Oreochromis niloticus: one gene and its partners. The protein of the gene in region 3 binds, or shares a complex with, the protein of the main gene of each other region. Links are inferred from orthologs where the notes say so. Each region holds a gene or a part of one and is shown on either strand. Other genes may lie near its edges. The genes, in order: mta1, mta3 and chd5.

What was found.
Region 1: chd5 (region 3) and mta1 share a complex: the UniProt entries of both Homo sapiens proteins name them as parts of the nucleosome remodeling and deacetylase (NuRD) repressor complex. The link is inferred for Oreochromis niloticus from reciprocal best matches to the Homo sapiens genes CHD5 and MTA1.
Region 2: chd5 (region 3) and mta3 share a complex: the UniProt entries of both Homo sapiens proteins name them as parts of the nucleosome remodeling and deacetylase (NuRD) repressor complex. The link is inferred for Oreochromis niloticus from reciprocal best matches to the Homo sapiens genes CHD5 and MTA3.

Annotation. Positions count from the first base shown.
Region 1 is NC_031983.2:19,122,071-19,130,048, forward strand, and holds the start of mta1 (metastasis-associated protein MTA1), read right to left. Parts: upstream 3,966-7,978; 5' UTR 3,947-3,965; intron 3,321-3,946; 5' UTR 3,230-3,320; coding exon 3,202-3,229; intron 1-3,201. UniProt on the Homo sapiens protein: Transcriptional coregulator which can act as both a transcriptional corepressor and coactivator. Acts as a component of the histone deacetylase NuRD complex which participates in the remodeling of chromatin.
Region 2 is NC_031973.2:10,587,824-10,595,801, forward strand, and holds the start of mta3 (metastasis-associated protein MTA3), read right to left. Parts: upstream 5,241-7,978; 5' UTR 5,123-5,240; intron 5,117-5,122; exon of another isoform or gene 4,945-5,116; 5' UTR 4,916-4,944; coding exon 4,888-4,915; intron 3,003-4,887; coding exon 2,935-3,002; intron 1,905-2,934; coding exon 1,811-1,904; intron 1-1,810. Other genes in the region: kcng3 (potassium voltage-gated channel subfamily G member 3), read left to right, coding at 6,805-7,421. UniProt on the Homo sapiens protein: Acts as a component of the histone deacetylase NuRD complex which participates in the remodeling of chromatin.
Region 3 is NC_031970.2:11,661,260-11,669,237, reverse strand, and holds the start of chd5 (chromodomain-helicase-DNA-binding protein 5), read left to right. Parts: upstream 1-2,802; 5' UTR 2,803-3,455; coding exon 3,456-3,522; intron 3,523-7,978. Other genes in the region: rpl22 (large ribosomal subunit protein eL22), read left to right, coding at 2,054-2,195. UniProt on the Homo sapiens protein: ATP-dependent chromatin-remodeling factor that binds DNA through histones and regulates gene transcription. May specifically recognize and bind trimethylated 'Lys-27' (H3K27me3) and non-methylated 'Lys-4' of histone H3.

The DNA of each region.
Region 1 (7,978 bases), on a different chromosome or scaffold from region 3:
AGTGGTGTTAAGGCTGAGATGGATTTGATCTTATAATAATTAGATCACAACTCCCATGACACCTTGCAATCATACTGCAGCAGGCACTGCAGCTTGCACTTAACAAACGCGATAAATCAGCAAATTTTTCCACTCTTTTCTCAAACATTCATTCTAGTGAAGTTTAGACAACCAGACCTTTAAGCCCATAGGCAACACTAGGAAGCTAGCAAACAGCGGTTATTGTGATGGGCATTCGGGCAGTTTGACCCCCCTCAGAAACACAATGATGGGGATACTTTGCTGAATGGATGTAAAAAGGTTGTCATGCATCTGTCCAACTAGTTGTCCTGAACTTGGCAGGATTGAAGCAAAGAAGCCTCAGCTCGCCACTCAGCGAGTACACCCACCAGACCCTGCAAGAGACACAACTGCCAGCGTGGGAGATTAACACCAGCCATGAGCCAAACAAAGTGTGGGCACTGTCAAAGTTTGTAATTTAGTCAGTTTGTAGATTAGTAAACAGTGCAACACCTTCAGGCACATTCTGAATAATTACTGTAGAAAATCCTCACCATCCAAAGGAAATGTGGGCATTAACACCCAAGTTTCTCACTTTTTAAGTTAGTAAACAATGCAACACATTTTGCAAACTCTGTGCAAGAGCTGTCACAATCCAAACATTCCAATGCAAGTTCTTATTTAAAGGATGGATCCTGTATTTTCCAATTATTTCTTTAAATAACACCCCTACCCATATGACAACCGAAGAAGTGTTTGCATCCTGTAATCATTCCTCGTGATCATAACATCCTCGGATATGGCCTCATACTGCAGTTCCGATGCAGGTGATGGGGGAATAAAACCCACAATCCTCATTCTAGGTAGAAATATATTTTGACCAGAGCAACACAGTTTGAGAAAATACAAACAGGGCATCTTTTACTATATTTTGGAACATCTCTATCACAGTAGGTCCACATTCAGAAGCCTGTTGTAGAAATTCATTTTAAAGGAAACAAACAGGGGATCACCTGGCCAAAAACTGAACCTGGCTTAACACCAACCAGCAACTTCCTGTAATATTAACTACAAAATCAAAGCTCCACAGTTTTAAAAGCCTGTCCTCTTTTTCAATGGTAGGTCTGAGTACCCACTAGCAAAAATTGTAGTAAACTTTCTATACGTCTTGACAACCAAATTTAGAACATCTCAGGAAAGAATTGTTTTCACTTGGGGAAAACAAGTCGTCAGCAAGTCTTAGAGGCTTTTTAAAATTTCACTGCATTCATAAAAACGTCTTCCAACCGCTGAAATGGTTAAAAGTTATCGTATAGCCTACACTTAGTCACCAACACTTTCCTGCACATGAGGGAAAGCACTAGGAAGAAGTGCTGCAGGCACCGGAAGAGTGGCTTGTGGCCTGGATGGTGAAAACAAAGACATCAAGACCTTTTGTCTTTTGTCCACTGCTCATTCAAGGGGACTCATTGCTTTTCCAAGATGATCCTGCATTGTCTTGCAAAGAAGCAGCCATCTTTGTGTGGGCTTCTGCTTTGTTCTGGTGTTGGCCTGGAGAAGCTTCAGTCAATTATGAGGCCTATTTTTAGGCCAAACTAGAACTGTGATTTTATTTTTTTAAACTAGAACTGTGATTGTAGGACAAATTAAGACTATGCTTATTAAATTATGTTTTGTAGTTTTAAATTAAATTATGAAGGTTGAGCTTACTTGTTACTTTTTCACTTTTCCAAAAAAGTAATCAACTTTGCTTTGATGACTGAGCATTAAATGTTTAATCCATTCTGATTGATTAGATCTCACAAATTAGTCAAACTACACAACCTTAAAGCTGCAAGGTAGATATGAAATAAATAAAACAACCTTTTTTACTGCAAATTAGTGTGCTACAAACAAGACATACATGCTTAACTGGTTGGTATGTCAGTGTAAGAGACTGACAGCGTAAACAGAAATACAAAACTAAGTAACATCTGGCTGGTAAAGTGTTAACTTTTTACCCTGCTCCAACATAATCCAGCTCTCACTCAGGTAGGCTTTGTTTCATTTGACTAAATAACAATGCCATTAACTTAAGCATAGGCTATTTTTGATGCATGCTCCAAGCCAACTGCAATCACATCAGTCATATTTCAAAAGACATCAGTTCTTAATAATCTTAAAAATATAATCAGTTTGCTTTCCCTCCCTTTTCTACTGACAAATGGCCACAGAGTCCAAAAAGACACTAAAAGTGGATGAATAAAGAAAGAATAAAGAAACTGTCCTGCAAATGCTTACGACTGCCATCTGCATTACAGCCCTCATATCAAACCTCTGTGTGGTGACACTTTTTGACAGCTAAATTTGAAGTTTTTTGAAGACACATCTAAAAAGGTCTCCATTCTTTTATGCATCTCCACTGCAAACCCCCTCAAAAAACAGCACATTCTATTTAAAATACAGTGCAGCTATAGTGGTTTTCGTGTTTTCATTTTCACACAGTACCTACGGGATGTAAATCAGGGGAACATATGCAGGGAAAAAATGAGTGGGAGGGGAAATCAGGAATTTTAATTAGGTATTAAGTTGAATTGCCTGCACAAAAGAAGCGAAGAGACACTGGTTATAAATGTGTAAAACGGATCTCTACGCATGCTTTGAGAATTTTAGTGGTTCCTGCATGTAAAGTGTTGTCTTTAACTTTTTGTCCCACTCCTTCCCTGCATTTTAAGAGCATGCACTCCTTGCTGCTGTCTTGTGAGCATTGAGAGGTTTCTGCAGGACACTTAAAGCACTTACGATGTTACTTATGGCTGTGAGCGTACAGTCCGGGCTGTAGCTGAATGGCACGCAAAACTTTTAGAATATATCCGCTACTTTACATCAAAATATATAGAAGCGCAATGCATGTTACTCAGAGTGCATCGTTGCACTAAAGTACTTGTTTGCTAAGTTGGAAGAAAAACGCAAAAAGAAGCGAGGAAATCCGGGGAGCAGTTTTGTAAAGAGAACCACTACTCTTCATCACCATCCTCCTCTTCACAGTCACCATCATCATCATCTGTGAAGCACAAGGCTCTTTAGCTTTAGGGAAATAAAAGAAGGGAAGCAAAAGACGGACCACGCGCTGTAAATACATAAAAGAACCGACGTTAATCATGGCGAGTCCGCCATAAAAAATTACGGGAAGGTCTTAAAATACTGCCCCCTCCACCTTACCTCCAACCCGGTACATGTTCGCTGCCATGACTGCCCCCGGTCCCTGGCTTCCTCTCCAGGTAGAGGGGTGGCTCTCTTCTCTCTCGCGCTGCCGGAGCTGTGTTAGCACTGCCGCCGCTCTGTGTTGGAAAATGGTGGATTGATCAATACGAAAGAGACTGGCTGGCTGCCTTAAAGAGACAGTACGCCTTTTTTCTTTTAACCCACAACTTTGGCGCTGGTAAATGGGAATAAGCACTGTAACAAATTAACGATTTAATTAAACAACTTTCTTTAACTTAATATAAAATTTAAAAAATAAATAAATAAATATTTGCCTTTTTAAACTGTACCTACGTCACTATTAGCAACCAAGCACGCGCTGTCCGAAAGGAACCGTTATCCTATTAACTTTGCTACTCGGTTAACCTTACATAAGTAGTTCATTTATCTTTTACTTGCCAATTTAGATTATAAACGAAAGGGTAAATTTCTTGAAAATAGACCTGTCTTTATTGTTAAGACATGAAACTTGGATACTAGCTTAAAGTTTTTATTTATTTATGATAATTATACAGCTCTCCAATCAACTAATCGACACGTATCGCGATAATTTACGGTGGAAAGCAAGTCTTTAAGTAAGAGCTCGATGTAAAAAAAACTTCCAGGGCCTACCAGGCCTACTTCGGACTGTATAAACTCCCACATTGGATGACTCATGAAATGTGGACAGGTTCCAGAGCTGGTTTTAAAATAAGCCATTTACCTGGAACTGTATAGCTGTGTAAAAATGCATCAGCCCTAAAAATAAACCAGTGCTGTGATCCTAAATCCCTCAATGCTCACAGTGTCAGTGAGGGTCAGAGGTCAGTGGACCAGCAGGGGAGGGATACATGGGCTTAAATGTAAAAATAACAAAGTATGTTAAATTTAATTCATGTACATTAGAAAGACACAGGGTCAGACACATTTGTCCTTAAATACCTAATTTTATTAACAAAAGAAAGGAAGACATATGCAAATTCTTCCAATCTGATAAGGTGTATTAAAGTTAGGATCGTATACTACAATGGTGGTTTATTTATAAGATAGCATAGCTCATTTTTGTCTCACTGTATAGGACTACATTATAACCACAGCACGCAGTGAAGGCAGAAACATGCAATGAATTATGGTATGATAATATGAGATATATTCTGGATTCTGGAAATACTATGGAGATTTAGGATTATTAAGCTTATTACAATGACATGGTTAGTCCACAGTACAACTCTATGTGCATGTGGGTAAGAGAACAAGATAATAATCTGCCATTAAAATAGGATGTTGGTTCTGCAACATGGACTAGCAGCAGTGTTTCTGTTCTTATCAGTAGTGTGTGTGTGAGTGTGTTTATATTATTCTTTCAATCTTACCACAAACAAACCATATAGTACCATATCACCTTGGACATGGCACAATAAATTGCCAATCAAACCACAGAATGCTTAAAAAAACTCACATGAGCATAGCTTTTTTTTTACATGGCAACCAGTCTTTAATGGAAAGGTATCTACAAGGCGTGATCCTGAATGACCAGATATTTGTTTGATTGGCTCACTTTTTTGTGGATAGCATAAGGCCTCTGTGACAGAGGAATGCGTGGTGAAGGCTACGTCTGATCTATACCATATGGAAGCGTCAAATACTGTGACCTAACACAGGGGACCACAGTCTGCAGTCACATGACTGTTATAGGCCAATCATGTGTGCTTATAGTATGCACTCCTACTCAAGTGTGCAGTAGGAACTGTGCTGCATTGGAGGGATTCTGTATTATGTCCCGGGGCTCTTTTATGAAAAGGAACGAGAGACAAGGAGTGTGCACTTTGTGTGTTTTTTGTGCATGTGTGTGTTTATGTATGGGTGTGTACAAGGATTTACGTCTACACTATGTCATTCAAATTTAATTACATTGAATTTGCGATGTTTTTCAATGCCAGTGCATGGTACACTGCACAGTATTTTGATTTGTAGTATAGTTGCATGCTCACTGATGAAAGACCATCACTATACTGTACATTTATTTTTAAGTATGCACTGCTGTGTGCAACAAACAGTGCATTTCTGCATAAATGCTTATTTTTGTGCATATTATATTGCTATCTTGTGGAATATTTCAAGTGTAAAGCATAATCCAGCATATCCCTGTACATTATGTGTTATTTGTTAAGCATATGGAGACACACGTGAGAAGTCTTTTGAGCTGTTGTAATTTTCCCCAATAGGCTCAAAAGAAAACATTGCCAGTGCTTAATATGCTCTTAATTAAAGGAAAATAGGTGGTTGACAATGCACCCTTGTATTTGGGAACTGTTACCACTTTCATTAGGGCTGTTTGTTTACTTGGCTGCTTGATGCTGTGCAGATGTTCTTTTTTTTAATACACTTGCTCCTCTGCCAGATGTTGCTGCATTCGGGAAGACAAGCATGCAGGCAGAGCTCTGTACAGAGCAGTGCAGTGCAGGTGTTCATCCTGATGAATCTCAGTCTGTGGAGATGGATTGGCTCGGGACGCAGAGCGTCTGCAGAACCTCCTTTCGCTTTGGAAGAAGACCTCTGATGGCCTCTCTTTCTCTCTTCCTACTTCTCTTCCTCCCTCATCCTCTTTCTTTCCTCTGCTCCTCCATGCAGCAGATGAATCACGGGAGAGTCAAAGACACAGAGGAAATCAATTAGACCTCTATCCTTGCAGAAACTATTTGAAATATTTTTAATTCTCTTTCTGGAACCTATACTTGGATCAAGAGACACTATGGGTGGTGCAGGAATAAAGGGAATAATGTTAGGGCTCTCGCTCTTCCACACCTGACTTTGTATGGGTGTATTCCTTATTAAAAGTGAATTACCTATACTTTGGAACAGTCTGTAACTCTGCTCTCTAGAGGATGCTTGAATATATTCCCTTCTCAGAAGGTTAGTGCCAGTGACCTTCTGCTGTGAGTCATGCTATAGCTATAAGACACATGTATAAGTATATAAAGCAGGATAAATATTACCGATAATAATGCAGTGAGCTACTGTACAATATCATAGATGCCTAGATTCTTGTATGGAGACTGCTCTGTACATCCATCTAAAACACATTCACCACCACTGCTGTTGATATTAAAGACAATATTCATTTTTTTTAATTTTTTAGTCTATGAAGCCATGTTCTCAGTCCTCTGAGAGCTGTGGGAGGAGACAGCACTGACTTATTGCGAGTAAAAGAAAACACTTAAAATAGGAGTTTGTATTTATTTTCAGTCACCATTAGGGGGAGCTATTGTCTAGCTTTTTATAAAAATGACCACTTAAGACAAAGGCTTGCCTGCCTTAAAACCATGCACACTCAGACATAATGTTATCCATTATCTTTAGCTCATACTAAACATAAAATTGAGCTCTGAAACCATTCATTAACAATGCCTGATCTTTCCAATACTCACTGAAAAAAAAATGCTCCAAGTTGCACTAAACATAGTCTGCCAGCAGGGGACATCATGCGCACAGCTATTTCTATTGTCCCCATTTGCTCCCTGAAAAGCAGTCATGCTGTGGGAAGAAAAAAGAACCGCGATGTGGCCATCGCTAACGGCGAAAACGACACTTAAGTGAGTTGTGATTTTTGAGTTGATGCCAGCTATTTGCATCTAAAGCTGCAACACAGAGCTGTAGATCAGAAGTATAATATTATCAAATGTTGCCATTAAATCAATATTAGCTATTGTGCCTTTTCTGAGTGTGGGTGTTTCTATCGGAAGACATAACTCAGTCTGTCATCTGTCACACAGCTTTGAATGAAACACTCAGCCTCCCAAGAATGCTTTGCCCTAATCCAGAGGGATTAAGAATATTGCAGTTGTGGGTTATTGATACTGACCCTTACGAATAGGGTGTTACTGTGAGACTGTCTCACACATGGAAATATGTGGCACTCCAAAAGTTATCCCCTTGCATATTCTGAACCCCACCTTGCAAGACAATCCCGTCACTGAGTGTACACCCTTAACCACAGGACCATTTGCCAAAATGCCAGAAGCTGCCAGACAAGTGCAACTGCTTTTTCCTTTTTTTCTGTGAGAAACAGCTGGTTGAACTGCTAAAAATGTCTCAATCTTCAGAGAGGCTCTGGCATTTGGTGACTGTGCCATGTGGGGAAAAACCCACAACAGTTAGACAGAAGAAGAAAAATGAGTGACTGGAATGGCAAGCACTTGCTCAGCAACTTGAGATGCATATATATATATGTATATATATCACATAAATCATCAAACAAATGACAGGAAAAACCACGGGCACATAATAATAAAGCCATGGTCAGTGCCAGAGTAGACGGACATAATGGGCAGTGATACTACCTTAGCATCCTACATGACAAATTCAAGATTAAACAACCTGTCTAAAATGACATCATGAACCAATATGCATTTATAATAACCATAAATGTCCAGTATGTTCATAGCGAATATATTTTGCAAGTTTCAAGTGAGATTGCACTTTCATGCATTAAAGACAGCCTTATAAACTAATGATAGCCGTTTTTAGTTGGAAAGAGTTTGTGCAGACATGTTACAGTATGTTACTATTAACTGAAAAATTAACATGATTGTTATTACAGTGTAATGTGAGTGTTTTAACATTTTTATTACCAAATCATAGGTCTTATTTTTAAATCGTGTTGGAATTCAGCTGAGGGGTGATAGTAGCTTTTTGGATGAGCCTGAGCCAGAGGGGCCTGTCCAGGATGCTGACGCTGGCCATGGACAAACCTAGG
Region 2 (7,978 bases), on a different chromosome or scaffold from region 3:
GGACACCAAACACCTTGCAGAACTGGCACAGCACTTTGATCAATGCTCTGTGCATACTGCAAGTTTTATCTTTTTGTTCTCGCTTTATGTTTATAAAGTCTACCTCAATCAGGATAACTGGTTTTTACCAGCAGTTCGATGACACATACACAGCGAACAGTATTTTTCCAGTCAGTGCTGAATGACGTGAATGCAGTAAACATGTTGTTCACTGGGTCTCCTGCTGCTCTTCATTGCAATCACCCACATCTAAACTGGAAATCTGCTTTGGTGGAAAGCATGTTTTTAACTTTGAGAAACTAACTATTAATGTGTTTTATTCTGGCCAATAGCCTTCTGGAATCAGGTACTCTCATTCCCACACTGAATAGGTGTTGCTGTGATGACACTTTCTTTTCCTTTTCACTTCACACATCCACACTCAAATTCTGTAAAATGCAGTAACAAGCAATTGAGAAATTACTGTGAAATACAAACATGAATCCTCCCAAGTTGCGCTGGAGTACAAATTTAAGTTTCAACTTCTCCCTCTCTGGCATTAAAAGCATCTTATTTTTAGGTAAATGCGCAATTTACAAAGTTGCCAAGAGGAGTCACCAATGGCGATGTCATTCTGAATGACCGAAAGCTTAATTACACGTCTCTCGTTTAAAGTCTTTCAAAAATTTTGATAATTATTAAGTCATCCTGATATCATCTGTCATGTCGAAATTAAAGAATTTGCCATCTCAGTGATTAGCAATGACTCCTCAAAACAAGAAGGTTCTGGGTTCAAATCAAGACTCAGGCCCTTTTCTGTGGTGCTTTCTTGTCCTTTCCCAGTACTCCAGCCTCCTCCCACCATCTAAAACCATGCGTGGGCTGGGTTGATTGGTAATACTAAACTGGCCCCAAGTGTGAATGGTTTCCTGTCTCTCTGTGTCAGCCCTGTGACAGACTGATGACCAATCCAGTCCAGGGTCTGCCTCTCAGCCTATGACAGCTGGAATCAGCTCCAGCCACTTGTGATCTTAAACTGTATAAGTGAAAGAAAATGGATGGATGTATGGATGGATTAATCTTCACCACTGTTTACACTTCTGCCAGATAACTGACTAGTCTAAAGTATCACAACTCTCTTTAAAGGAAAAAATACAATTTTTAATTCCTATAGACAGGTGACACATTCAAAACTGCTTGATTTGTCCAACCAGCTAAGACAGTCACTCTAAGTTTGGCAAAACAGAAAGAACCCATCCATCCATTTTCTTCTGCTTTTTTAGTTGATGGTCACAGTTGAGCTGGAGCCATCCCCACTGCCATAAAGCAAAAGGTGAGGTACACCCAGGACAGGTCGCCAGTCTGTCACCGGGCCAACACAGAGAGACAGAAACCATTCACACTTACCCAAAAGGTTTATTCTGTTCATCTGAACGTAGCATTTTCAGTGGGAGAAATGTTTCGTCACTAATCCAAGTGACTTCTTCAGTCTCCAACTTTTTTGGTTTTCCTTACCTGGATGACTGAGCATCCATCAAGACATTTACACTTACACTTACACTTACATTTTGACATACAGGCAGTTTAGACTCACAAATTAGCCTAACCCCACTAATTGCATGCCTTTGGGCTGTGGAAGGAAGCCGGAGTACCCGTAGAGAATATGCAAACTCCACATAGAACCAGATGATGAATTAGAACACAAAATGAACCCTCTAAATACAATAGTTTAATATGCATTAATGCAAAAACAATCTAAAGAAACTCTACTGTTTTACACAGATGTTTGAAGGGAATTATTCACATATGATGCGTCACAACTGCTACTCACTTGCATGTTTATCTGCGAGCTGGATGAGGCTGTGAGAGATGTCTCTCCTTCTGTAGAAACAAACTACCTTGGCCTCCACGTTCCCACTGGCAGTCTAAAAGAGAGGAGGAGAGACATCCAGGTTGACTCAAATAAGTGGCAACACGTACCTGTACAACCCTGTAATTTCCCAAGAGACCTGGCTCCTTTGTGTACCTATCAAGCTGTGCTCAAACTCAGCCAGTATTAAATGTCGTGACTGATGACTAGATGTGGGGGTAAAAGGTTTGAAGAAGAAGAAAAAGAAACAACTTATACTCCCCACCTACCTGCTTCCAAGTTTGTGCGCAAAAGCAAATGTATCTAAATAAAAAGGGATCTGGAGAAAATAACAGGAACGACGACATGCATATTGATGCACTAGCAAAAGCCACAAAAATGTCCATCGTGCTTGATCAAGCACTCCATTTCACCTTTACCAACATGATGAGCTTCATACAGCTTGTATTTGCAGAAGCACAGCTTTATTAAATGGTATCATGCTGCAGGGACTTCCTGTTACTTCATCATTTATGATAATTACGATGTCTCCTGTCTTTAGATTATAACATTGAGCCTCAGTACGCTCTTTCAGGATGATAATGATGTGATCTGGCATTATTCCACCCACACAATCTGATAATGACCTGCATTTATCAGAATATCTCAGTGCAAGCATGACACAGGAAAAGCTTTTACACACCTATTAACGATGCTTGTGAAGGATTTCGAACAAAATAAAATGGGAATTACGGTAAAATGCTGAGAGAAAAAAAGAGAGACCAACAACACTGCTGTTGAAGGTTGGTATCAGCTTATAATTAAAATAAATCTGCATCTTTAGCCCAAAGCTACATGAGCTTGTGAAATGTTGATAATAATCACTCCACCCACACACACACACACACACACACAGGTGTGTCAAGTCATACTAATGACAGTTGGTAGATCAGGGAACACCTGTCTTTTCAAGCCATATTACAAACAACGTCACAAAATCCACACAAACAATGGGAAAGCGATGGGGTGGGGACAGGAGCAGAGAGGAATTCAAGGAATTCTCTAACATAACCACACATGAAAATGAAAAACGCACACATCAGTACCTTATTGAGTTCTTCTATCCGACGGATCAGGTAAGGGTTACTGGAGGAGTTCTCAAAGAATACGTAATCTGCAACAGGAAACACGCACATCTTATATTTAAATATATACACCGCATGAACTAATACATTGGCACTACAGTAGGTCAAATCAATAGATATGCATATCCTTTAATCAATAAATGTGGAAACTTGTGACTTTCAGAAAGTGTTGCACAAGAAAAGTTAAAAGGAAAAATCTCTAGTCAACAACAACCAAGTTATAGACGAATAAAAGTGCAAAATTATTATAGTCTTTCAAACTGTAGCCATATGTTACCATACTGTTTCAGTTTGTATGAAAAAATAAATTAAAGACAATAAAAACTTCAATATAGCATTTTCTAAAAGAAAGATTCCCCATGCATATAAATAACATCACCAGATGCCAGTATAGCTTTCTGGGTTTGAGCAGATGACCTATATGCCGTAAGGCTAATGCAGAAGCACTGGTTTGAATCCCCCTGTCTCTCCTCCAGCTTATGCGTCTTCTCGACACTGCAAGGTTCCAACAAATGGGACAAATAAAATAAATGTAACAATATCCCTATTTTTTTTTTTTTTAAATTAGAAGCTTGCCCACCAACTTTGCACAACTTCAGTCCATGGCAAATGCTGCATTCACACAGAGTCTGTAATATTTCAATTCACATGTTCCAGACTTTTAAACGGTGCAGCAGCATATTTGTCAGGGTTGTCAAAATATATATGACTTCATGCATGTCATTAGAGTCTATGTATCATCATGCTAATGTGTATGACAGCCCTTAGCCTCTGGGACGGGAATGTGCTGCACCTCAGTCTTGCAATGCTGTTATAAAATAAATATATCAATTTTTAAGAAAATAAATTAATAAACTACATATCCCATCTATTTTGTTTGCAATGTAGCAGCAAAACAAGACTTGTTCCATCGCGGGAGAAAACTGTACTTGAATGCACCTGGAAGTTTGTGTGTCCTACCTACAAGTTCATGGAGTTTACAATGAGCACCTGAAAGCGGCAGGAGAAGTTGCACTAAAGGTGACGTGAGGGGACAATAAACTGATGCACCTCGAAAATACCGGTTATAAAGTGTTGCAAGACATGTCATTAGACGCCTATAGTTTGTGTGGCATGTCAAGCATTAATGCAATTAGGCTACGTGGCCGTCTGTGTATGGATTTAAAGCTCAAGTATGCGTGAATAAAGGTGTAAAAGCAGACACAGCGACGCCATGCGCGGAGACAATAATTTGATGTTGAATTCCAGTAGACTGCTAACGAGCTAGCTAGCAAATCAGCCAGCCTGCATCCCTATTTGATAATTAATTGCACTTGTGGTTACTGTAGGTGGTCACTTTGGCAAAACACTTTAGCACCTGATGTTACCGAGACGGTTAAATACGATCCTTAAATGCAGCAAACGAGCGCTGAGACGGCATTAATGGTAATCAGTGAAGCCATCGCTGGTGCTAACGTTAGCTAAATAAGGTCTCGTACTAATGGCTGCATGCCAGGAGTGGCAAATACAAAGGCAGCCTCAGACTGCCCGTGGTAGCATGTTAACAACCTTTGAAACACACGTCTAGTCGTGAGGTCTATCCGTGTAGAAGCCCCCTGTATCCCGTGGTCTAAGAATTCAGAAACCCGGAGAGCAGCAAACAAGTGAAAAATGTTTACATTGCCAGCTAACCATTTAGCAAGCTGTCTGCTAGCTGCTGTGGCCACGACAGACGCGAGGCCTGACCCATTTTGAATCTCAAATATACACCAACTCTCACCTTCCTGCTTCAACTTAACGCGTCCACGTTGCTGTACCACATCCGCATCTCCACCATTAAATGCAAACGGCTCAAAATACCACAAAATAACGCCCAGGAGCTGCAAAACTGTAACGGTTTCTCTTTGATAAAAAGATCCACATTGACATACATACCTCCGACCCGGTACATGTTGGCCGCCATTTCTGCCCTCCCAGTGTGCAAACCATAAACTAAGAGAAATGGAATAAATTAATAAAAACAATAAAAGTCACTCTCTTTGAAGGGAAAAGGAGCGACAAATTAAGATCGTCGGAACTCCGGATGTGTAACCTATCGGGAGAATTGTGGCAATTCAACCCCCCCCTCCTCCTTCGAGTCACAGCACCCTTTATGATACAGTTAACTCACGGCAGCCAAAAGAAGTCGGATCAACCCGAAAAACCACTGCTGACGCTGGAGGGGCCCGCGCACGCGCAGCACAGCCACACGCGGCCCACACGCGCAGACACTTACAGCCCACCTCAGAAAACACCCAAGAAAGCAGTTTGTACATTTTTTTTTTTTTTTAATTTTTATATCTGTAAAGCCAAAAGTTTAAACTTTAATCTAATCATTGAAACTGAGTCTCTCTAAAATTCCTAACAAATCAGAAAGGGCTCTAAAACTTAAGAGGAACATGAAGAAGTCTCAGTGTTATTATTATTATTATTATCATTATTATTATCATTATTATTATTTTCTTTTATGCATCGTTACATGATCCACCTTGACCAGAGAGGACAGAAGGCGTCATTTCTAATTCTAATAACTTTAAAGTAAGAGAAGCAAGGCTTAGATAGCTTGGAGGGATATACTGTGATATATTAGGAAAAGGATGTTAAAGATGTACCTGGCAGGCAGTAGTAAAAGAAAAAGAGTTCAGAGAAGATTTATGGCTGTAGTGAAGAAAGATATGCAGAGGGTTGGTGTAATAGTGACATAGTGAGATGATGGCAGATAATGCTGTGGCGATATCCGAAAGAAGAAGAAGATTCAGTATATGATTATGTTTTGTATACTTGATGTAGACATCCATCCATCCATCCATCCATCCATCCATCCATCCCCTTTCGCTTATCCTTATCAGGCAGGCAGAGGCAGGGTACACCCTGGTTCGTCAGTCTGTCGCACGGCTAACACATTGATGTAGATATTTTTTTTATATATATTTTGCTATCAAATGAGCTGGTATAGAATATTTGCATTGCTAAGTTAAAATAATTACTATGTTCTTTATGTTTGTTCGAAACAAATAGATAAATAAATAAAGCTGCACAAAAAATAAAAATAATACTAAAAAAGCTTTATTTATATAATGATAATACTAACAATAATAACATTAATAAATTATACGTGTGTGCATATATTTCTCTTGCTATTTATTTTTTTTTCCATTATACTTATCTTAACATAATGTACCTTTTGTTGCACAAGTCAGAGCTGGTGTATATAGGTATCTCTATCTAGCTTAATTAAATGATATAAAATGGTCTACATTTTAATAATGGTGCGGGCATATTAATCACAAGCTTCACATCTATTTTTTGTCAGTGTAACAGGGAATATTACAGTGAGACGTAATTAAGCTTTCTTAAACAAGACTTTTCCTCCCCGGTTTTCATCAAGTTTGACGATAATTTCTCATCAACCTGCTTCCAGAAGAATCTAAACAGTATTTTATAGGAAGAAGCAGTCTCCACTGTGGACTTAAATCACATATTACGTTCTATACTCCTGTTGCTTATGGATTTTTCTCTGCGTGCGTCCGCGCGCGCGCGCTTGTGACATCACTGATGGGATTGGCTGGAGCTGACTGGGGGGATGAGTCTCTTCTTCAGGCTACAGAGGGAGACGGAGAATAGAGTCAGGGACAGAGGGAAGAGTTTCCACTTAGCAGGCACGGACCTCAGCGCAGGGCCACCTTCACTCAAAGCGAACCACGCCCCGGGGCAGGGGAGACGAGTTCCCCAAGTGCCCAAACTCCTGCGATGGAAGGAAAAATGGACTGTGAAGAGGAGTTCTCTTAGGCTTTGAGGATTTAAGTTGTCAAAATGAAGTTCGGGAAGAGCATCTGCGTGCTTAACGTCGGGGGAACCCGGTACGCCTTCACCCGTGAGGTGATCAGGGATTTCCCTCTTCGACGCGTCAGCCGCCTGATTGCCTGCGCAACCGAGAAAGAGGTCCTCGAACTCTGCGATGACTACGATCGGGACCGGAATGAGTTTTTCTTCGACCGCCACGCTCAGGCTTTCGTGTTTATTATGTTGTACGTGCGCTCCGGCAAACTCCGATTTGTTCCCGGAGTGTGTGAGCTGTCCTTCTACACAGAGATGCTCTACTGGGGACTGGAGAGCGCGCACTTGGACTCCTGCTGCCAGAAACGCCTGGACGATAGGATGTCCGACATCGGACTGGACACACTCTCTGAGGGGGACATCGAGGATGAGCCCCAGAGCCCAGGGGAGTCAGTGCAAGAGGCTGAGCTCACATGTCGCGCTAGGTGGCTCGAGAAAATGCGCAAGGCTTTTGAGGAGCCCAACTCTTCCCTTGTAGCGCAGCTTTTGGCTTCAGTGTCCGTGATCTTTGTTATCGTTTCTATGATTATGCTGTGCGCTAGCACCCTGCCGGATTGGGATACAGCCAAGAGAACTACTGTGGAGGAGCACAGGTAGGCGATAGTCAAGGGTCAGTTAACTTGAAGGAATAGAAGCCCCCTCATGAAAATGCTGCCAAATGTTTAGGCGCAATGTGTGCGGATATCCTACAACTGAGACTGTCTTGCGTAAAAGTGAACTGAACAGATGGAATCGTGTCAAATATTTGATTCTGTCATCACAAGTAGCATAAATAAATAAATATACCTCTTAACATTTGATCATGCATGCGTTCAAGGCAACGGCCAAAGTCATTGCGCACTAATATTAATCAGGAGGTGGATGCATTGAGATGTTTTCTACCTCAGCTTTTTGAGTGTTTTCTAGGATGTTTGCTATAATAACATAAAAATAAGAATGACAGCAAAGCAAGATATTTAAAACATCCATGTATTACATTGGCTGCTGGGGATTTGTTCTTGTGCTTTCTTGAATTGATGCCCCTGAAGTCAGTATGCCCGCTGACAAGTTTCAGGCAGCACATTACACCTTAGCCGGACACATTACACCTGTGCCGGACAGGCCCCCAAGGAAGCAAATCAATAACCAATCCATAGCTTTCCCCTCTTAT
Region 3 (7,978 bases):
CATAGTCATTTGCCATTATACCAGCAACCCTCAGTAAATGCTTTGCACAGTGCTTGCTACAAGGCCTAAAAAGACAAATGTTAAGTTTAAAGAAAATCTCTGTTGTTTGTGTGGAATAGAGAAGTATGCAGAATCCTGTTGAATATAATTTTGAGGGAAATGAAACGCATTTGACATTTCAGCCACAGTAATATTGTAATAGACTTAATGAGCAAACATGAGAAGACTCCAAACAAATATGGCTGTGTTTGGTTGTCACTTACACAGTGGTTGCAAAATTTTACTGATACTCAGCCTGAATGTGTCTTCTGACTGATCATGCTGTCTTTGTGGTTTCCCACTTATTTGAGAGCTTGTGATCTGATGTTTTTTCCAGTTGCAGCGCAAGTACATTTATCCAGTATTACATGAGCTGGTTTCACACAAGTGTGGCAATAAATACTCTGGACAGATACACCACTAGAGAGTATCTACCTTATGTGAGAAGCCAAGAAATCTCATAAAAATGCTTAAAAAACAAAAGATTTTTAGGGATCAGATAAGTTCATCATTGCTTGCCACATCGTGCAACAAGGTCCTGCTGCATCCTAATATGGGCATAACATCAAGTTTGATGTGTGTAGACATAACAATAAAAACTGACTGAATTGTAGGCTATGACACACAACTATGGTCTCTTCCTATGGTGTGTCATCTTAATGTGTACTCATGCTGCCCCAACTGCACAGTATTTTCTTCTATGCTTGAATTCATTACCTTTTTCACAAATTTTACTGCCACCTTTTTCTTTTGTGTGTGAAATTGTCATTGATCAGTGCCTAATTTCGTGTTGCATTCCTGTTGGTTGATTTAACAAAAAAAGAGGTAGGTTGTAGCATAAATTTTGTAAGGTCAGTACACACTAAGGTGTCGTTGTGTGTCAGGTACAGAAAGCAAAGTAGAATATTTATTTTTTGACCATAATGTGTACATTCTGTGTCTACAGTACCTACAGTACTAAGAAAATACAAATACCGTGTATTTAGAATGTTGGTATTGAAAGGTACCATAAGTATCGATTCTGGTGACATGTGCCTACTGTGGAGGTCTCGTCCTCTGGCAGTCAGTTCTGAAGAAACATGCCTGCTGCTTAAAGGTTCTTCTGTGAACACATGAAACAGTCTAAACACAATGAGTTTCAGAATTATTGTATTAATTGTGGATTTGTCTGAAGTTTTGTGAATATTTTAAAAAACCAAAACTAATATCTAAAAGTGAGATCTATTTGAATTTCGATTCAGATTTATTTATATAGCGCCAAATTACAACAACAGTTGCCTCAAGCACCTTCGAAACACAGATGTTATTGTGAAGTGTAGTGCTTAATGTAACTGATTAGAGTGGCACAGCCAAAATGGTTATCTTGTTATCTCGTTATATATATTTATTAGGCTGTAGCCACCACTTAATAATGATTCTAATGTTCTATTTGGACAATAAACAGTATTAACTATATAATAACCTAGATATAATAATGGTATATGTATTATACATCTGATCATTAAAGTACTTGAACTCCTTTTTAAAATTGGCTGTAGCAAAGTTGCAAAACATACATATGCCCAGCTAATCCACATGTTTTAAATGTTGGGTTATGTGGGCCTGTGTGCATTTCTGGAACTTTCCCTAACAACCTTTATGTCCACTTCATACTGTAATTGTTCAGTAAATTTTAAACACCACCACCAGAGGGGGACTGTGGCACTCTCAGTCTTAAATGAAGCATTTGATATAACCAGTGGAGATCTCCTAGGTTAGAGCTGATGCTAAAGCAAATTCATTTTGTGATCCCCACTTTTCTGCTGGTCACGTTTATGGCAAAAACCACACAGAGCTGTTTTTTGTGCATCTGGGCTACTGAGAGTTTTAACTGTTGTACGTCGTGTTTAACGATTTCTACACCTTAATATAAATCTAGAAAAACAGCAGGATTTTGCTGCTTTTCGGTACATAAATTGTGAAATTTAAGGGCAGATTGACTCACACTCTTTCTGCTCTCTGCTTCCATTTTCAGGTACTTGAAGTATCTTACCAAGAAGTATCTGAAAAAGAACAACCTCAGGGACTGGCTGCGGGTGGTAGCTAACACCAAGGAGAGCTATGAGCTGCGCTACTTCCAGATCAACCAGGATGAGGAGGAAGAGGACGAAGATTAAACCTTACGCCACTCTTAATAAAATACTTCGAGAGAAAACCCTTGATGGTCTTGTGTTTTATTTGGAAACATTTGGTTTGATTATGTTATCTGGATCCCACACAGACGATAAAAACAGAGATATGAACATGTGACTGTACACTCTGATTTCATTTAGCGTTTTTCAAAAATAATCCTCGATATTTAGATGCATGATGACAACTTTAATTGCATATAAATCTGTAATTTTTAGATTTAGGAATGTTTTCTGGTTCTTTATTCTGATGTGGGATGGTGTTTTTTTTTTTTGTCATCTGGTTATAAAAAGGTTTATTTGCATTGTGTGATTGCCCCCCATCCCCCCCTAAAGTCCTGCAGCATGTGGGATGAGCTGGGACTCTCAGCCTTTCATTTGTATATTTTGATAAAAGATAAAGTGACGCTGAAGCTGATACTTCCTCTGCTCAGCTCTCTGTGGGGCATCCTGTGATACAGCTGTGGTAACCTTGACAACAGTTAGACCACTGGCAGTCAGGACTCCTCACAGCTTGCAGTCATCAGCCTGCACTTGTGTGTGTTTTGTCAGGACAGTGTGGACGCTTGCAAGATGAAATCGAGTCAGGTGGTTGTTAGTTGGGGGTTTTATGCCTTAATTGACGTCTAAATCAACCAAAGCGTCCGTATACACAAACGGTTTGGCTTCAAAATAGAAAGCAGTGCTGTGTTTCCACCTGCAGACACACTTTGAAGTGGAGCTTGTGAGTGAATAGAGCAGCAGCTGTGCGAGAAAGTGGGAGAAGTTTCTGTCTCAATTCTCCGGACTTCCAAAAGGAAATGGACAGGCGCGGGGAGTGCATCCGTCTATTAGCAGCACACGGCGCACGATGTGCATTTTTTTGCACGCTACTAGTTGAAGTGGTAACTAGGAGAGTATGACTAACTAGTTGTGGGTGAAATTATGGGATGCATCGTCATGGCAACAGACCAGACGTCACAATCTGGGCATGTGTGTTCCATTTTTGTCTTTCTTATTTTTCAGACTGGAAGACCTGGATAGAGATCATTGGAAAATATATATATTTTTTAAAAAATTATTTTTTTTATTTTACTCTTGGAGAGAAAGCCCCATGTTCGTTGCACAGAAATAAAAAAAAAATCTTACATTTTTCACAGCGACGAATACTATTCTTTTTGGGTGAAGAAAGAGACTGTGCTGCGGCGTCTGGAGGGTTAACTTTCAGTATTCCCAGCCTAAAAGGGGTTTGGGGGCTATGAGATAAAGATGCCGGGGTCGCTGAGCAATGAAGACGAGGGACAAGACGACATGGATTTTGAAGACGATATACCAGGTGAGGGAAAGGGGAGAGGCGGGGTGTCCTTCAGATAATTTTGCGCCGCTACGCCTTGAATGCGGGGAAAAGGGCTTGTCCTGCGTTCCTGAGACCGGAGAGGAGGGGTGGGGTGCAATAAGCAGAGTCATGCTATTATTTTTTTGGACGACCTACAGTCTTAAAGGTGGCAAAGGGTTGTAGGTTTTTTTTTTAATCTCTCCCCCCACAGCTGTCCTCACATTCATCCTGATTTGGGGGCACGATGGAAACGCTGCTGCATGGTTTCTGTGGGCTGCCTTTTCTTTCACAGGCTGCATGCGTGTACAAGTGAATGGCTTTGAGTCCAAACACAAGTTTTGTTCAGAGAGCTGTTAAAAAAAACCCGTACTTTGCTCGTTTCCGTGTCAGTGTGTGCATTGGCGATTTTCTGTCCCTTTTTAGCTCGTGGATGTGCTCTTTTGTGGAAAAAAAGAAGGGGGGCTCCGGTGACAATGTGCGTGTTCATTTTGTGGATGATGCGCTGCCGTTAGCGCTCGTGATTAGGAAGCTGTTTCAACTTTAATTCTTTTTTCTCCCACTGCATGGCCGCAGAGGTGTGAAAGCCACGTGTGGGCTACAGTAAACAGAGCTTATCAAGTGTGCTCCTTTGCCTTGCGCGCTGATGACACCGGTTAGGTCACCGGCAGCCCTTCAGCTCTGGGTCGTGCGCGAACTGGAATTAACTCTAACCCACATTCTCTGCGTGCTGCTAATTCATTTCACATGGCAACTTCATACAAGAGAACCTGTGCAATAACATTCTCCAGGCTGAAAAATGAACATGTCATCAACTCTGGCAGTGAACCAGCTTTCAGTGCTCTTACAGTTTCCTCCCTTTTTTTTAAAAAAATGGTCAAGATCAAATCAAGTCACAGGGGGTTTTAAGATTCCCTAATTAATGACCATGCACAAGAAGATACTTGCCAAATTTTGGCCATTTTGTTTTCTTTTGGCTGGTAAGTTTGTTAGGTTTTCTGGCAGGTGTCAATCCTAGGGCACAGGGGAATCCCAGTCTTAGTTTTTTTGGCAGGCATGGCTGTGCTTACTTGTGACATTTACTCAAATTGCTAACTGTGTGGTCCATAATGTACACCAAGGAGCAGGCATCAGAATCTTCATCTGCGTAACACAAACCCAGTTCTGAACTGCTAATGATTGGTTTCTTGATCTAGTGATGCAGCAGCTCAGGTGATGAAGTGCCCTCTTGTTGCAGCCTGCTGAGCTGAATCCAGACATAAGATTGTCCCGTGCAGCCATTGAAGTTCCTTTTATTTTAAAGTTCTTATAGCTTGCTCCAAACATCAGATGGTTGATGTCAAGGGCAAGATTTAAAAGATCCTGCTTTGCCCTCTGCTTCACTTTCACATTACCATGTGGAAAATGTTTGTGGTTGTAAAATACACTCCAAAGCCAAAAACAAAAGTCAGAAAGGTCGGAAAGTAAGAGCCCTGCTTTGGATCAGAGAGCTAGTTTCAGTGAAGTCAAATCACCCCCCAAAAATGAGGTCAGCTGACTCCCTCAATATACTGAATGACCAGGTTTTTCCATCAGTGGTTTGTGTTCTTCCCTGATAACAAAGACATTTTCCTGGATGACAGTACCAGGATTCATTGGGTTAAAACTGAAAGAGCGATTCAATGAGCACGAGACATCATTTTCCAACAGGGACTGGCCACCGCAGAGTACAGACTTTAACCCCTCTAAGAATCTTTGGGATTTGCTAGAGAAGATTTTAGCAGACTGTCAAGCCCATCGCCAATACAAGGCATGAAAGTAACACAGCTCTAGGTGGAAATAGGTGTTGTGACATTGCATAAGCTTATTGAAATGATGCCTTGATGAATGCTGGCCATGATCAAAGCTCAAGGTGCTCAAATGAAATATGTGAGTGTGTGACTGCTTTTTATTGGCCGGTCAGTGTAGATTCAGCATGAAATGAAGCTTCTAAAATCCAATGCAATGTTTTCTCCAGCAGCAGGCCCTCCTCGTCTTAAGTGTTGCTCAAATAATGCAGTGATGCGGAATATAGAATACATGTGAAAGAAGGCACAAGACGTTTTATTTATTAAATATCTTGCTGGTGTGTCTGTTGCATTGGTATTAGGTATTGCTCGTTACAGAGTGACGAAAAGCCATTTACTGGGACACTACTTCGGTGGTTTAATTGTGAGCAGTTGTCACAGTACTGAGTTGCCAAATTACAATCCTTGCTCATTTCGCATGTGTGTTATAAAGCTCTTGAACATCTGAGGCTTTGAAGTGCTGTCACAAAAAATGAGGTAGAATGCATACAATTACTAAATTCAAGGGTACCACTGGTTACCATTTCTTAGACAGAAAAAGGTCATTCATGCCACAATATTCAAAAATTACCTCTGCGTTTAACACGAGGTCTGAGTATTGTGATATCTGCCTTATTTGAGGAAATCCTTTGCATTAAACACACATTTCTTTTGTTTATATACATATTTTTTGACAAGGGTAATTTGTACTTGCTAGTTTTTCTGTGCGTTTATGTGCATCTTAGCAGTAAGCAAGTGAAAAACGAGGCAGACAAAGAGAACGGAGAGTCAGAGGGGGAGTTAGAGCAACATCTGTGACTGCCATCCATATTTAGAGGCAGAATACAGGCACTGATGTGTGTCCTCAGTAACGCATTAGTTTGTTAAACATGTATAAGAAAAGAAGGCTGCAGCTGAATATGGCAGGTGAGTGAATATATATCAGTATTAATTAAGTCTAAAAAATGAAGAATGTGTTTAAATTGCTTAAATATGCTTTGATGGGATTTTTGTAGTCATGTGTTTCTGGCTTCAAAAAAATTTCGTGTAATATAATAAATACCAGTGTGATCCTCTGTGATGACGCACAATGTACCTACTTGAGGGTAAATCTAGTGAAACTCCGACACAGTGGTCCATATTGGTTTTGTCATCATGAAATTGTTCACAAAAGGGAGTCATTCTTCCTAGTCTGAAAATATGACTGTTTTATTGGAATAACTTTCCTTTAATTTGTCATATCACTCACTCATCACAACAAAATGCTGCGGATCAATTGTTATGCTGCTGATATACGAAGCACTTTCCAGACAGTTTATGACCTCATCAGCAGGCTTCAAAGTGATAGACAAGGTCAGAAATCCAGGTCAGAGTTTTCTACCATGAAGACACTTCAGTGCAATTAAAACACAACAGTGTGGGAGCACATTGTGTGTGGACTTCAGACCCCAAAATGCTATCCTATCACAGTCTTTATTTGTTGTGCCATGTAGCGTCCTAAGTCCCTTTGTTTCACTCTGGGCACTTACACTGTCACAGATTGTTCCATTGTGTTTTCTGTTTTAATTGCTTTGTTCTTCCATAAAATTGAAAGATTATCATGGGCTTTTGTGTGCCTACAAATGTTATCCCCAGTTGGAAAAGGGGCTATTTTTGGATCCCTCACTGTGAAAGTTGACACAGTTTTTTTTCTTAATGCGTGTGTATGTAGCCTAAGCATAAAAAAACATGCTTTTAAATATGTTTTTGCAAATGAGTGGTACATCATTTCTTATCTGTTTCCTATCTGTTTATATGGGATGTGCTATGACCTTAGAATAGATATACTACAATTTAATGATGCTATTTGGGCTTTATCCTTCCATCACTTAGATGATAACATTTTCTAATAATAGCCTACGGATGCTTTTGTCTGAAGGCATTTAAAGCCCGAGCCATAAGTACCTAATCGATGAAGAAAGGAAACCCTTTGGCCTCGTCTTCCCTGCATTGTGGGAAGCAATGCTGGGCAGCATTAAGTGGGTATTTCCACACAGGGGCCAACAGAGAAATGACTAATGTGCTTTCCAGTAAACTCTATCTTCCTCACTTGGGACTCGTTCATGAATCTCCCTTCTAATGGGTCAGTCTGGTGGCCAAGCCCTTGCAGGAAGGTCAGAACTGTGTCTGTGCCATCCGTCCACATTTTACAGAAGGCTTGTTTGCCAACTGGAGCTTTGGTCGTCTTCCTAACACAATCTGTTGCCAGACCTCGGTGTGTCACATGACTGAGCACCCTCCCCTACTTCCAACACCTGGCACTGCCTGGTCCAGTCACCAAGCAGAAAGAATATCTCTCCCCTGATGGCTTTCCCCACGGGGACTTCACAGGCCATTTACTTTAGTCAGGGTTCAGATTTTAAGGCAATTCAGGTGATAAACACAGAGCTGTTTCAGGGAGCTGCATTGCTGTGACACATTCCTGTGTAACAAAAAATGATTACTGAGAACCCATGTGTTCAATATTTTATTTGACTCTCTGAGGATCTGTTATCAGCACGTCTTTTAAAGAAACATCAGCAAGCTAACATGGCCCCAGTTACAGCGCTTACAGGCTGATGTTTGGCAGATTTTATATTTAGAACATATATATATAGTTTAGTGCCATCATTAAT